Linked DNA regions of Cricetulus griseus. The protein of the gene in region 3 interacts with the protein of the main gene of each other region in a biochemical or structural test. Links are inferred from orthologs where the notes say so. Each region holds a gene or a part of one and is shown on either strand. Other genes may lie near its edges. The genes, in order: Inpp5d, Sh2d1a and Cd244.

Region 1 (2,612 bases), on a different chromosome or scaffold from region 3:
CGGGATCCAATGCTGGGGCATCTTCCCCAGCATGGTTTTCCCCCAACCCTCCAAGTCCAACGCCGATGCCAGGCCTGCCTGGGATTCCTCTGGAGAGGCAATGATACTCCTGTGCCTTACCTGAACTCCCTGAAAGGGGGGAGCAGCGGGGAGGCATGTCCCTGAACCTAGCCAGGTCTAAAGGTAGCCTCAGTAACCCTCCCTGGGATTAGGACCAAGGACTCCATCCAGTAGGTACTGAGGTGTTTGCTCATTTGACAAAACCAATCTCTTCAGTAACCCCAGGAAGCAAAGCTAGAAACAGCAACAAAGAAAATGGAAGTTCGTGGTGTCATCCTGAGAGGTTCCCAGGGTAGACGTCACCGCATGCTTCACACTGCGAACAGAGCTTGGTGGGACTAGACCTTTAGCCTGTCGTAGTCTTTTATCCCAAGGCTCAGCAGATAGAGGGGCAGATATACATCAGCCAGAGGTACATTGTGAGACCCTGTGTTGAAAAAATGTGTATATCAGGTTAAATTCGTGTAAAATTATCCCCTGGAAAATGAACAATTTGGTATATTACATGTTATACCAACGCCACTATAGTTACAGAACATTATCATCCCTAAGTGAAAGCCCAGAGGCATGAAGCATCTACTCCCCAGGTCCTGACTTCTGAATGTGTTTTCTCCCCACTCTCCTCTCCTCCTCTCCATGGTTCCAGACCCAGTGACCTGGGCAAAGTAGAAGCTCTGTTACAGGAAGACCTGCAGCTGACCAAGCCGGAGATGTTTGAGAACCCCCTGTATGGATCTGTGAGTTCCTTCCCTAAGCTGGTGCCCAGGAAAGAGCAGGAGTCTCCCAAGATGCTGCGGAAGGAACCCCCGCCCTGTCCAGACCCAGGAATCTCACCACCCAGCATACTGCTCCCCAAAGCCCAAGAGGTGGAGGGTGTCAAGGGGACAAGTAAACAGGTCCCCGTGCCTGTCTTTGGCCCCACACCCCGGATGCGCTCTTTTACCTGTTCCTCCTCTGCTGAGGGAAGAATGCCCAGTGGGGACAAAAACCAAGGCAAGTCCAAAGCCTCAGCTGGTTCCCAAGCACCGGTGCCAGTCAAGAGGCCTATCAAGCCTTCCAGGTCCGAAATGAGCCAACAGACGACGCCCATCCCAGCTCCACGGCCGCCTCTGCCAGTCAAGAGCCCTGCAGTCCTGCAACTGCAGCATTCCAAAGGCCGAGACTACCGAGACAACTCGGAGCTCCCCCACCACGGCAAGCACCGCCACGAGGAGGGGCTACTTGGCAGGACTGCCATGCAGGTGCGCTGATTCATATGTTCCTGCGTGCATGCCTGTGTGTCTGTGGTGTGAGTGAGTGTCCTGGGAAGTACTCTGAGGAAGGGCTGAACTTGGGGTTTGAACCTGGCACCTCTGTGCCCCTGATTGGTCCTACACGGCATCTGCAAATGATTCTTGAGAGGGACAGGGGGAGGAGCTGTGGATAAACACCTAGCTCTGTAAAATACCGGGATTTCGGTCATTTATAATTTAGTTTTATCCTTTTTTTTAAAGGTTTTATTTATTTATTTATTATGTATACAACATTCTGCTTCCATGTATATCTGCACACCAGAAGAGGGCACCAGATCTCATTATTACAGTGGTTGTGAGCCACCATGTGGTTGCTGGGAACTGAACTCAGGACCTCTGGAAGAACAGCCAGTGCTCTCAACCTCTGAACCATCTCTCCAGCCCAAGTTTTATCCTTTTTTAAAAGATTATTTATTATGTATACAGTGTTCTGCCTGCATGTACCCCTGGAGGCCAGAAGAGGGCACCAGATCTCACTACAGATGGTTGTGAGTCACCAAAAGGTAGCTGGGAACTGAACTCAGGACCTCTGGAAAACCAGTCAGTGCTCTTAACTGCTGAGCCATCTCTCCAGCCCAGTTTTATCATCCTTAATATATAGTTTAAAACATTCCTGGTATTTTTAGAAACTTCAGGCAGAATATCCCCTTCCAATCGAGTCTGTTTATTCTACAGCAAAGCTAACAACAATTTAAAGAAAAATCACAGTTGAAGCTGAAGACAGTAGTAGACCCCTATAATCCTAGCACTCTGAAAGTCTAATGCAGGAGGACCGGGTGTTCAAGGTCAGCCTGGGCTGTATAGCAAGACACTGGCTTAAGAAGAATCAGCGGCAGCATTCTGGATGTTAAGGTTGTAGCTCAGTAGTGGAATATACCCGAAGCCTCCATGAAGCCTTCGGCTGAGTCCACAGTACCACAAGAGAAGTGAACTCTAGAGCCAGACTGCTGTCTGTTCTGTTATTGTATTGTTGTTATTATTTTGGTTTTGGTTTCTTGTTTTTTGAGACAGGGTTTCTCTGTGTAGTCCTGGCTGTCGTGGAACTTGCTCAGTAGACCAGGCTGGCCTTGAACTCAAAAATCCACCTGCCTCTGCCTCCCGAGTACTGGGATTAAAGGCTTCTGCCAACACACCTGACCTATTATTGTATTTTATTGCAGTATTGAGGGTCAAACTCAGGGTCTTACACAATAGACAAATGCTGTGTTGCAGTTCTGTGTCAGATTTAAATCCCAAGTCTCCACTGCCCAGTTCTTTGCC
Region 2 (4,213 bases), on a different chromosome or scaffold from region 3:
CTAAAATACAACCCTTATAAAATAATGTCTTGAATTTCTTTGTGAAAATATTACGTATGGATCAGCTTTTATTTCATACAACATGTAAATTACAGCAAAATGTAGTGAAAGCATGTACATGTTCAAAAGTATTCATCTTATTAAAAAATAGAAGAAATTTTACTTAAAAGTTAATAGTAGTTGCCTATAAGTGATTTTTTTCCTTTGATTCCGTTATCTATGTTTTCATATTTTAATATCACAAATAAGTGTAAAGGACTATTTGGACAAATTATTTTAATTCTAATTACATTTAGAGAAAATAATTGGAAGAAAAGCTTTGTATTGTTGATGAAGAGTAGCAATTATATAAGTGGAAACCTTTTACAATGTTTGAAGCATTCTGTTTTTTAAGAACCTAACAGGAGAAAAGGCCCTGTCTGAGGACCACGGCTGGGATTTCATCTGGGAAAGAGGAATATATAGTTGGAAAGTACAATTGGAAACATACAGTTAAAATCGAGTAAACTGAAGTTGAAGCAAGCTTTCTTGGTTAATGGGAATAAACAAAAGATAGAACAAAGTGGCACTGAGTTAACTGCAAGTATTGCATGTTTGTTCAAACACATATGATTCTATTTATTCCTACTCTGTATCATACAACCCAGTATTTTGAATTAAGTGTGCATAGTTTGTTCCAAAATAACATTTTGCGAGTACCACGGAGTGCCAGTAAGAGAGAATGAAATATGTATGTGTATCAAAAGGGACACCCAGCTCCAAAATAACTAAAGAACTAATCAAAGGCAAAGAATCTTGACTCTTCCCTCCACAGTAGCCTGGTCATAACTCGGGAAAAACCATATGACAGGAGGAGAATTCTCTACTTCTCTATTTTCATGGGAAAATTAGTCAACAACAACAACAAAACCTTGCATTTACGCAGCATTCACCTTCAGTGAAAACTAAAATGATGAGAAATTCCTTACATGGTCCTGACCTACCTGCCTAAAAACCTAAGAATTCCTCCCTTCAGGTTTTTACTTACAGCAATCTTTTTAACAGAAAAGAAACAGATTTCTGTTTTACATATATGGAAGATGAAATGCCCAGAGAATCTGAGTGACTCCCTAGAGCCCAAACCCTGGCCTCTTGTCAGCCCAAGGCTCTTTGTAGTAGAGTACAATATGCCTTAACAGTTCATTCAGTTACTTACAAATCGTTTGCTGAGTGCCCATTATATACCAGGGAATGTTTCTGGTACTGGGGACAATATTTGTTCCTTCATGAAGGTATTTTTGTGGTAGAACACATACATAAGTAAACAAGCTAGCAGAAAGTTTAAAGGTCCTTGAATAAAAATAGTGGGATAGCAACACGGACAAATGTTAGAATAATCAAGGGGTGAAGATTGAACAGAAGGTGTAAAATCCTGAGTGGAGCAGGCATGGTGACCTTCAGGAACAAAGGTGGTCTATAAAGTAGAAGTCTTGGGTATACTGTCTCCAGCTCTCTCCCCCCTATTCAGGCTTCATTTGAACCTTCATTTTTGCCTTTAGTTTAAGGAGCATGCTACTTGACCCGCTGCTAAGTCAAAGCAGCTCATTTCATTCACCATCCTCCATCTTCTGACAAGAAAAAAATCAAACCAAGGATCTTCATTGGCTTTTCTTGTCCTTCCTAAGGTTCCACTTGAGAACGTAAAGGTCCAAGCCCAAGGCTGATGTCTAGCTCAGTGCAAAAGCAATTTCCAGTAGACATAAAATCCTGGGTTCTGTCCCCAACACTGAAAAATTACTTTTCCACATATTTAACTTTAAGCCTTTATGATAAATGTATTTAACCTGATCTGAAAACTGCCACAAATAAGACTTGGCCATTTAAAAAAAAAAAACCAATATACAATGGCAATCCTCTCACATCATCCATAATTTAATCTTTATTTTCTGTCCCAGAAAGTACTTCAAAATTTTGTAGTGTATCATCATGTCCAGAACACATTACAAAGCATTTTCCTTTGTTTCGTTTTTATGTAGACTCTACTGTGCTAGAGTGAAGATTTTGTGAGTTTTTTTTTACCCTGCTTTCAGTAATGCTTGAGCTAGGTCCTTTTGCAGAAATGCCTCCATGAGTACTGAAATAAATTGTTGTCCAAAAAGACAATAATAATAAACTAAAGCCAATAGCTTACAGAACATTTGCTCAGTGCCAAGCCCAGAGTGTACTTGTTTTTAAAAGCGTGGATTTACTTCATCTTTACAGTCCCTTTAATAAATAAGAAAACTCAAGGACTAAGAGATTGATTTGCTGAGACAACAAGCTTAGAGGCTGACTATAGTAGGATTCGATCTCAGATCTGCTTGGCCGGGGAGGTAGAGAGCCGAGATGCAGCTCCATCTAGTTCAAAATGGAACAAGAGGCTGGAAACAGTCCAGACAAAGAGCAAAGAGGAATTGTTACATTCCACGTTTTTAAACTCCTTGGCCTCTCTTATAAAGGAAGGCATCTCAGCAGCTCCAGAAAATCCTCACTCTAGTACAGGAGAGGCTGCCACAAACACACTGGTGAGACACAGTAGATGAAATCCCCAGTAAGCATCCTATACCCAAGTACTACCCAAAACAGCCTTGAGCTGGGTCTGGGGAAGCCTTGGCACCAGGCATGAGAGATGAAGAATACTCAAGAGTCCCTGATGCTGTCTGTGTCCCTGACTACCTTAACTAAAAGCTGTAACCCTGTGCCCCCTGCTTCCAGGCCTCCCCAGCGGGTAAAGGCAGGCGTGCTACCAGACTGCCACTACCACAAGGTACTCACAAAACACACAAGCAGTACACGCCAGGAACACTCTCACTGTCTCTTAGCAGATAGCTTCCATCCAGCCCCGTGGCGAGCAAGAGCTTCTCCCCAGTCTCCCTGCTGATTTTGCCATGGTACACAGTCACTGCATCCATGCCTGGTGGACTCTTGTACAGGCCCAGAGGAAGACGGTGAAAGGGAAATGCTGCTGCTGCCTTTGCTGCTGCGGTGGTTACCAGTCACAATCAGCCACCTGACTCCCAGGGCAGCCAGGATGAAAAAAAGATGAGCGCCCCAACAACAGGATGTTGTCTACCTGCCTTAAAACCTCTTCTCACACTTCAATTAAGGCCAGCTCAGCAGTTTAGCAGCTTCAAACTCGTCGTGGGGTTTGATCACCTGCTCCTCCTTGTTGGTGAGGGGGAACACTGGAAAGGTGAACACTTGTAGTATTTGAGAGATGAAGAGTACTCATCTCCGGCAGACCTTGCACAAAGATGAGAAATTTGGTGATGCTTTTGTTCTTGTGTAGTCCCTGCAACCTGCAGAGCCATCAGCGATGACTTGCCTTAACCAGTGTACAAAAGAATCAGTGATAGAGGTGGCATCATAAGGGGCAGAAACAGACTGACAAAAGAAACGCATAAAGACACTGGGACAACAAAATCATGACAGAACACGCTCATGAGGCTTCCACAGCACCTCCAAGTATTTGTGAACTGTGTGTATTTGGGACTAGATCTTCCTGAACTAGCTTCCTTTTCTTCAATGCTAATAATGGAATGAATCCAGGGCCTCACAGATGAACCCTTCTACCACTAAGCTATATGCCTAATCCTTGAATAAGCATAGGCTCAAGCAAATATTAATTTTTAACTTAATATTGTGTTCAAGATCCAAAAGTATCAGCTCAGTCACACAAAAAAAAAACCATAATTGTGCTAAAAAAAACTATTCCAGATTGATCTAGCTGAAGAGTTTAAGAAGAGCACATCCTTTTATTGGTGCTTCTTAGTTTTCTTTAATTCCTGAGATTATAATTACGACATTTCTTCCTTCACTTTTCACCCTTGAAACCCTTCCAAATATCCCTCCCTGCTCTTACTGCATGCATATACATATATACATATGTAATACATATGCATATACATACGTAATTCCTAATTACAACCTGTTGAATCTCTATAATGCTATTTATATCTATGTTTTCAGGGCTAACAGCCATTTGGCACTGGACAACCAATCGGTGCACTCTTTCCTGGGGGAGACCACTTCCTACCCCCAACTCAGTTGCCTGTAGTTCTTTGTATAGGGCTACAGCCTTGTAGTCTTTTTCTAGCCAGTTTGGCATATACATTGGTTTTGTATGTGAAATTCGATTTGCCCTTTGGTGAATGGGGCTAGGCCCAAATCATTTGGGACTTAAAACTCATATTTG
Region 3 (4,151 bases):
AACAAAACCTGTCTCCTTGTTCACCTGCATAGAATAACCCCATCTCTTTGTTTATCTGTATGTAATAACCCAACATCATTGGTCCACTGTATGCAAAAACTCTACCTCCCTATTCAGCCCCATAAAATAAACACACCACACGTCATGGGTGCTGAGGCTTTTCCAGCAGAGGGCACAGTGCACATAGTCCCAGCTTTTCCTTATCGCTCCTAGCCAGGGTCCTGGGACCTAAGCCCTGCAAAGATGTGGCAGGCAAAGTCTTCTTTTTTTTCTGAGGAGTGAAAAGTCCAAGAGATGATCATGCGCACGTCACACACACACACACACACACACACACACACACACACACACACACACACACACACACCACACACACGGAGAAGCAGAAGAACTTTTGTAACCCTTTTGAGAAATAGCGACTAAAAGACACCAGCTGCTTGTTAAAATCTTCGTCATGATGCTGAGGTTTCGGTATGGTTTGCATGTGTTCCCCATATATTCATATTTCTGGAGCCAGTGTGCTGAGAGGTGATGGGGCCAATAGAAGGAAGGGCCTAGTGGGAGGTGCTTTGGTTATGTGGGGGAGCTCCACACAGAACAGATTAAAGTACATCTCTTTGACCGGGTATAGTGGCTTACGCCTGTAATCCCAGCACTTGGGAAGCTGACACAGAGGATCACTGTGGGTTTGACATCAGCTGGGCTACATAAAGAATTCCAGAATATATAGAATAAAACCTTGTCTCAAAAAAAAAAAAACAATACAAAATGAAAACAGCAACGGAAAAACAGTCCTTCTCATGGGACCTCTGAACTGTTACCAGAATGTACCTGACTTTTGAGTAGTTCTCCGGCTTTCTTTTCAGTGGTGTGACTGCTTATTCCTGTGAGCCTCCTGCCACTGTGCTATCCTGACAGAACACAGACAGTATGGATAGTTCTAGAAATAAAGACAATTAGTTTTCTCTTAGTGTTGTGACACAGTAATTATGTGTTTAATTCTTTAGAAACTGGCTGAAGTCACCCCTAAAACCAGGAGGGTCCCCTTTGAAAGACTCATCCTTAATTGCTTGAATAACTTTTTCTTTTGAGATGTACAGAAAAGGATTAACATTGCTCAAAGAAAGGCCTGGCCTTTCCCCTGGGCTTTTAGGAGGTGATTTCTAAGCCTTGGAATATGGCTGACTAAGAGTGTCTTCATTTAGCACAACCTTGGACCATGACAGTCTGTGCCAACAAAGTGATTTACTGTGGAGGACTTGGTCCACTTAGCATCAGATCAACCTCGGAAGCGGTCAGAGAGCAAGGTCAGCTGTGTGCGTGATGAGCCTGGATGTATATGACCAAGTACAGAGTCTAGACACAGCTCACAAGCTTTCCTGGTGGCAATACTCCATATATATTGTCACACCCAATTTTTAGAGTTAAGTCATTTTTTGTAAAAAAAAATAATTTCTGTCATTTATTTTATATTGTTTAATGACTTTAAAAATCAGTAACTTTAATTATGGTATTAAATCATACTGTTACTGAAAAGGCATTTGGTTGAAGTTAACATCGTTTTGGGGACAATTTTGTACATATGTGCAAGGTACTGTAACCATGTTTTGAGAGGTAAGCTCTGTTTGCTTACGTCACTTTGGAGCTTCCCCCAGACCTTGCTCTATGTTGCTTTCCCTTGTTTCATTTTGGTCTGTATTTTTATTTGCAACACGAACCAGCTGAAAGTAGCTTTTAATGGATTCTTTGAGTTTTTCTACCGAATTAACAAACTTCAAGGTGGTCTTGGGGCTCCGAAGTTTGCAAAGTGTCTTGGGAGGTGGGATTTCCGAGGCCGACCCCACTCACTCACTGCGAAATAGTGAAAGCTTAATGTGGGGGAGGAAGGTGACAGTGGGGCTGGAGGAACCTGTGACCTCGTGTTGGCGGCTGGTTTTCAAAACCCTGATTTGAGCCTCTGTCCCAGACTTCCAGAGACCTGGGGAAGCCTCTGAGTTTATGTGAATTTTGCAGGGCCTTGAATCTTTGTAATAAAGTGGCTAAACTACACAGAAGCTCAAGATGTGGCAGGGTAAAGTATAACTAACCATCATGAGGGGAGAGACTAAGGTGGAACAGCTTACCGTTGTATCTCACTGGGGATGGAAAAGCCGTCTCCTCCATCTTCTCCTTTTCCTCCTCCTCCTTCTTTGATTTTTTTTTTTATTTAAATTAGAAACAAGCTTCTTTTACATGTCAGTCTCAGTTCCCTCTCCCTCCCCTCCTCTCCCGCCCCCTCCCACTCACCCCCTTTCTGCTCCCCAGGGAGGGGGAGGCCTTCTGTGGGGGAATCTTTTAAAGTTTGTCATATCATGGGAAAGCCTTCTTTAGGGAGTTCATTCATCCCTTCAGGACTGAATCATCTTTACCCACCTGGAAAGATGCAGGCTCTAGGAATACTTAGCTAAGGTTGCATTTTTCTTGAAGCTCTCAGGGCAGGACAGGACAGTGTGTATAAAAAAATAGCAACGCTATGTGGTAGAACTTGTTAGGAACGTAAGAAAGACGAATACGGCACTTCTTCCAGTTCAGTCTCCAGGGGCTGGTAGGTCGTCTATGGCTTTGGAGAAGAGGATGGGGCTGTACTGGGGCCAGGATTGGTGAAGCCGATTTTCCTGTCTTGAGACAATGTCTTGCTGATATAGCCCTGCCTGCCTGTTACTCAGTGAGTCCCAAGGAGGCCTCTGATTCAAGACAATGTCCTGCCTCCTCTTCCAGGGTAAAGCAGCTTTTAAATTCACTGTTGTTCATTGCTTCCAAAAGTCAGACCTTGCCTTCCATCTGTTATGTGAGGAAATTCACTCTGTTGCATTACTTTGTTTTTGACTTTGAGACAGGGTTTCACTGTGTAACCCTGGCTGTTCAGGACCTCACTCTGTAGACCTCGACTCACAGAGATCTGCCTGCTTCTGCCTCCTGGGTGCTGGGAATAAAGGCCTGAGCCACCACTACATCTTGAACACTACTACTCAAAGTCAGGGATGCTGGCAGATAACCGTGAGGGAGCTCCAGGGGTCGAGGGCTGTCTTAAGAGGATCAGGGATAATTATTATATCCAGGAAAAAGCAAAGCAGGCTGATGGTGAAGAAGCAAACCCTCACTGAAGTGCTTGGGTATTGAAACACCACACACTGGGTAGTTCATACATTTGTCTCTTTAGGTTTGAAAGCTGGACACTCAAAGATCAGGATGCCCTCATAGTCAGGTTCTGGGAAGGCTTTTGTGGGGGCATGCAGACTCTTAACATTTTGTCCTCTCGTGGTAGAAAGAATGGGAAATAAGCAGGATTCTTGGAGCCTGTGGGGTCCCCTGACCCACTTTTTAAATAAGAACATTAATTCCATTCATGAGCGCTCTTGATCACTTCCCCTAACATTCCACTTTCTAATACCAACATACTGATTAGGTCTCAATATTTGAATTAGAATGGTGGGACACAAACATTCACATTTATTTAAAATAATAACAACCAAAGTAATGGGTTTATTATGGCATTTAAAAAGATTTATTTATTTTATGTGTATGAGAGCTCTATATGAGAGCTCTATCTGCATGTATGCCTTGATTCCAGAAAAGGTCATCAGATCCAGACTAAAAATGGTCATGAGCCATCTCATGTTTGCTTGGAATTGAACTCAGTTCTGGAAGAGCAGCCAGTGCTCTTAACTGCTGAGCCATCTCTCCAGCTCCCTTATTACACATTTTTATACATGTGTGTACCAGAGTTTTACATACACACTCTCAGGGATAACTTTTAATTTGATTCTGAAAACTATCCTAAAGGACACTCAAGTATTCAAGCATTGCTGATCTTTAAGAAAACCCACACATTTATTTATGGGTGTGCTCACCTACATTTTGGGTACTTGTGGAGGCCAATTCTCTTTCATCACGTGGATCCTCGGGATCACATTCAGGTCATCAGGCTTGAGGACAAGTACCTTAACCTACTGAGCCATTTCTCCCACCCAAGCACTGTTGATCTCAGGACTCAGAAAGTAATTTGCTCAGCGTCACACGGGTAGTAAGTTGATGAGTTGGAGTTCAAGTCCAGATGTTTGACTCCAAATTGGTTGTCCTGTTCAGAGCATCTGTGCTGCTTCCAAGGATCT

What was found.
Region 1: the proteins of Cd244 (region 3) and Inpp5d interact in a biophysical measurement, tested with the Homo sapiens proteins (2 studies listed by IntAct). The link is inferred for Cricetulus griseus from reciprocal best matches to the Homo sapiens genes CD244 and INPP5D.
Region 2: the proteins of Cd244 (region 3) and Sh2d1a interact in a biophysical measurement, tested with the Homo sapiens proteins (2 studies listed by IntAct). The link is inferred for Cricetulus griseus from reciprocal best matches to the Homo sapiens genes CD244 and SH2D1A.

What each region holds. Positions count from the first base shown.
Region 1 is NC_048595.1:439,363,354-439,365,965, forward strand, and holds part of Inpp5d (phosphatidylinositol 3,4,5-trisphosphate 5-phosphatase 1), read left to right. Parts: intron 1-706; coding exon 707-1,301; intron 1,302-2,612. UniProt on the Homo sapiens protein: Phosphatidylinositol (PtdIns) phosphatase that specifically hydrolyzes the 5-phosphate of phosphatidylinositol-3,4,5-trisphosphate (PtdIns(3,4,5)P3) to produce PtdIns(3,4)P2, thereby negatively regulating the PI3K (phosphoinositide 3-kinase) pathways.
Region 2 is NC_048604.1:25,515,503-25,519,715, forward strand, and holds the start of Sh2d1a (SH2 domain-containing protein 1A), read right to left. Parts: upstream 2,931-4,213; coding exon 2,794-2,930; intron 1-2,793.
Region 3 is NC_048598.1:21,241,909-21,246,059, reverse strand, and holds the start of Cd244 (natural killer cell receptor 2B4), read left to right. Parts: upstream 1-1,219; coding exon 1,220-1,307; intron 1,308-4,151. UniProt on the Homo sapiens protein: Heterophilic receptor of the signaling lymphocytic activation molecule (SLAM) family; its ligand is CD48.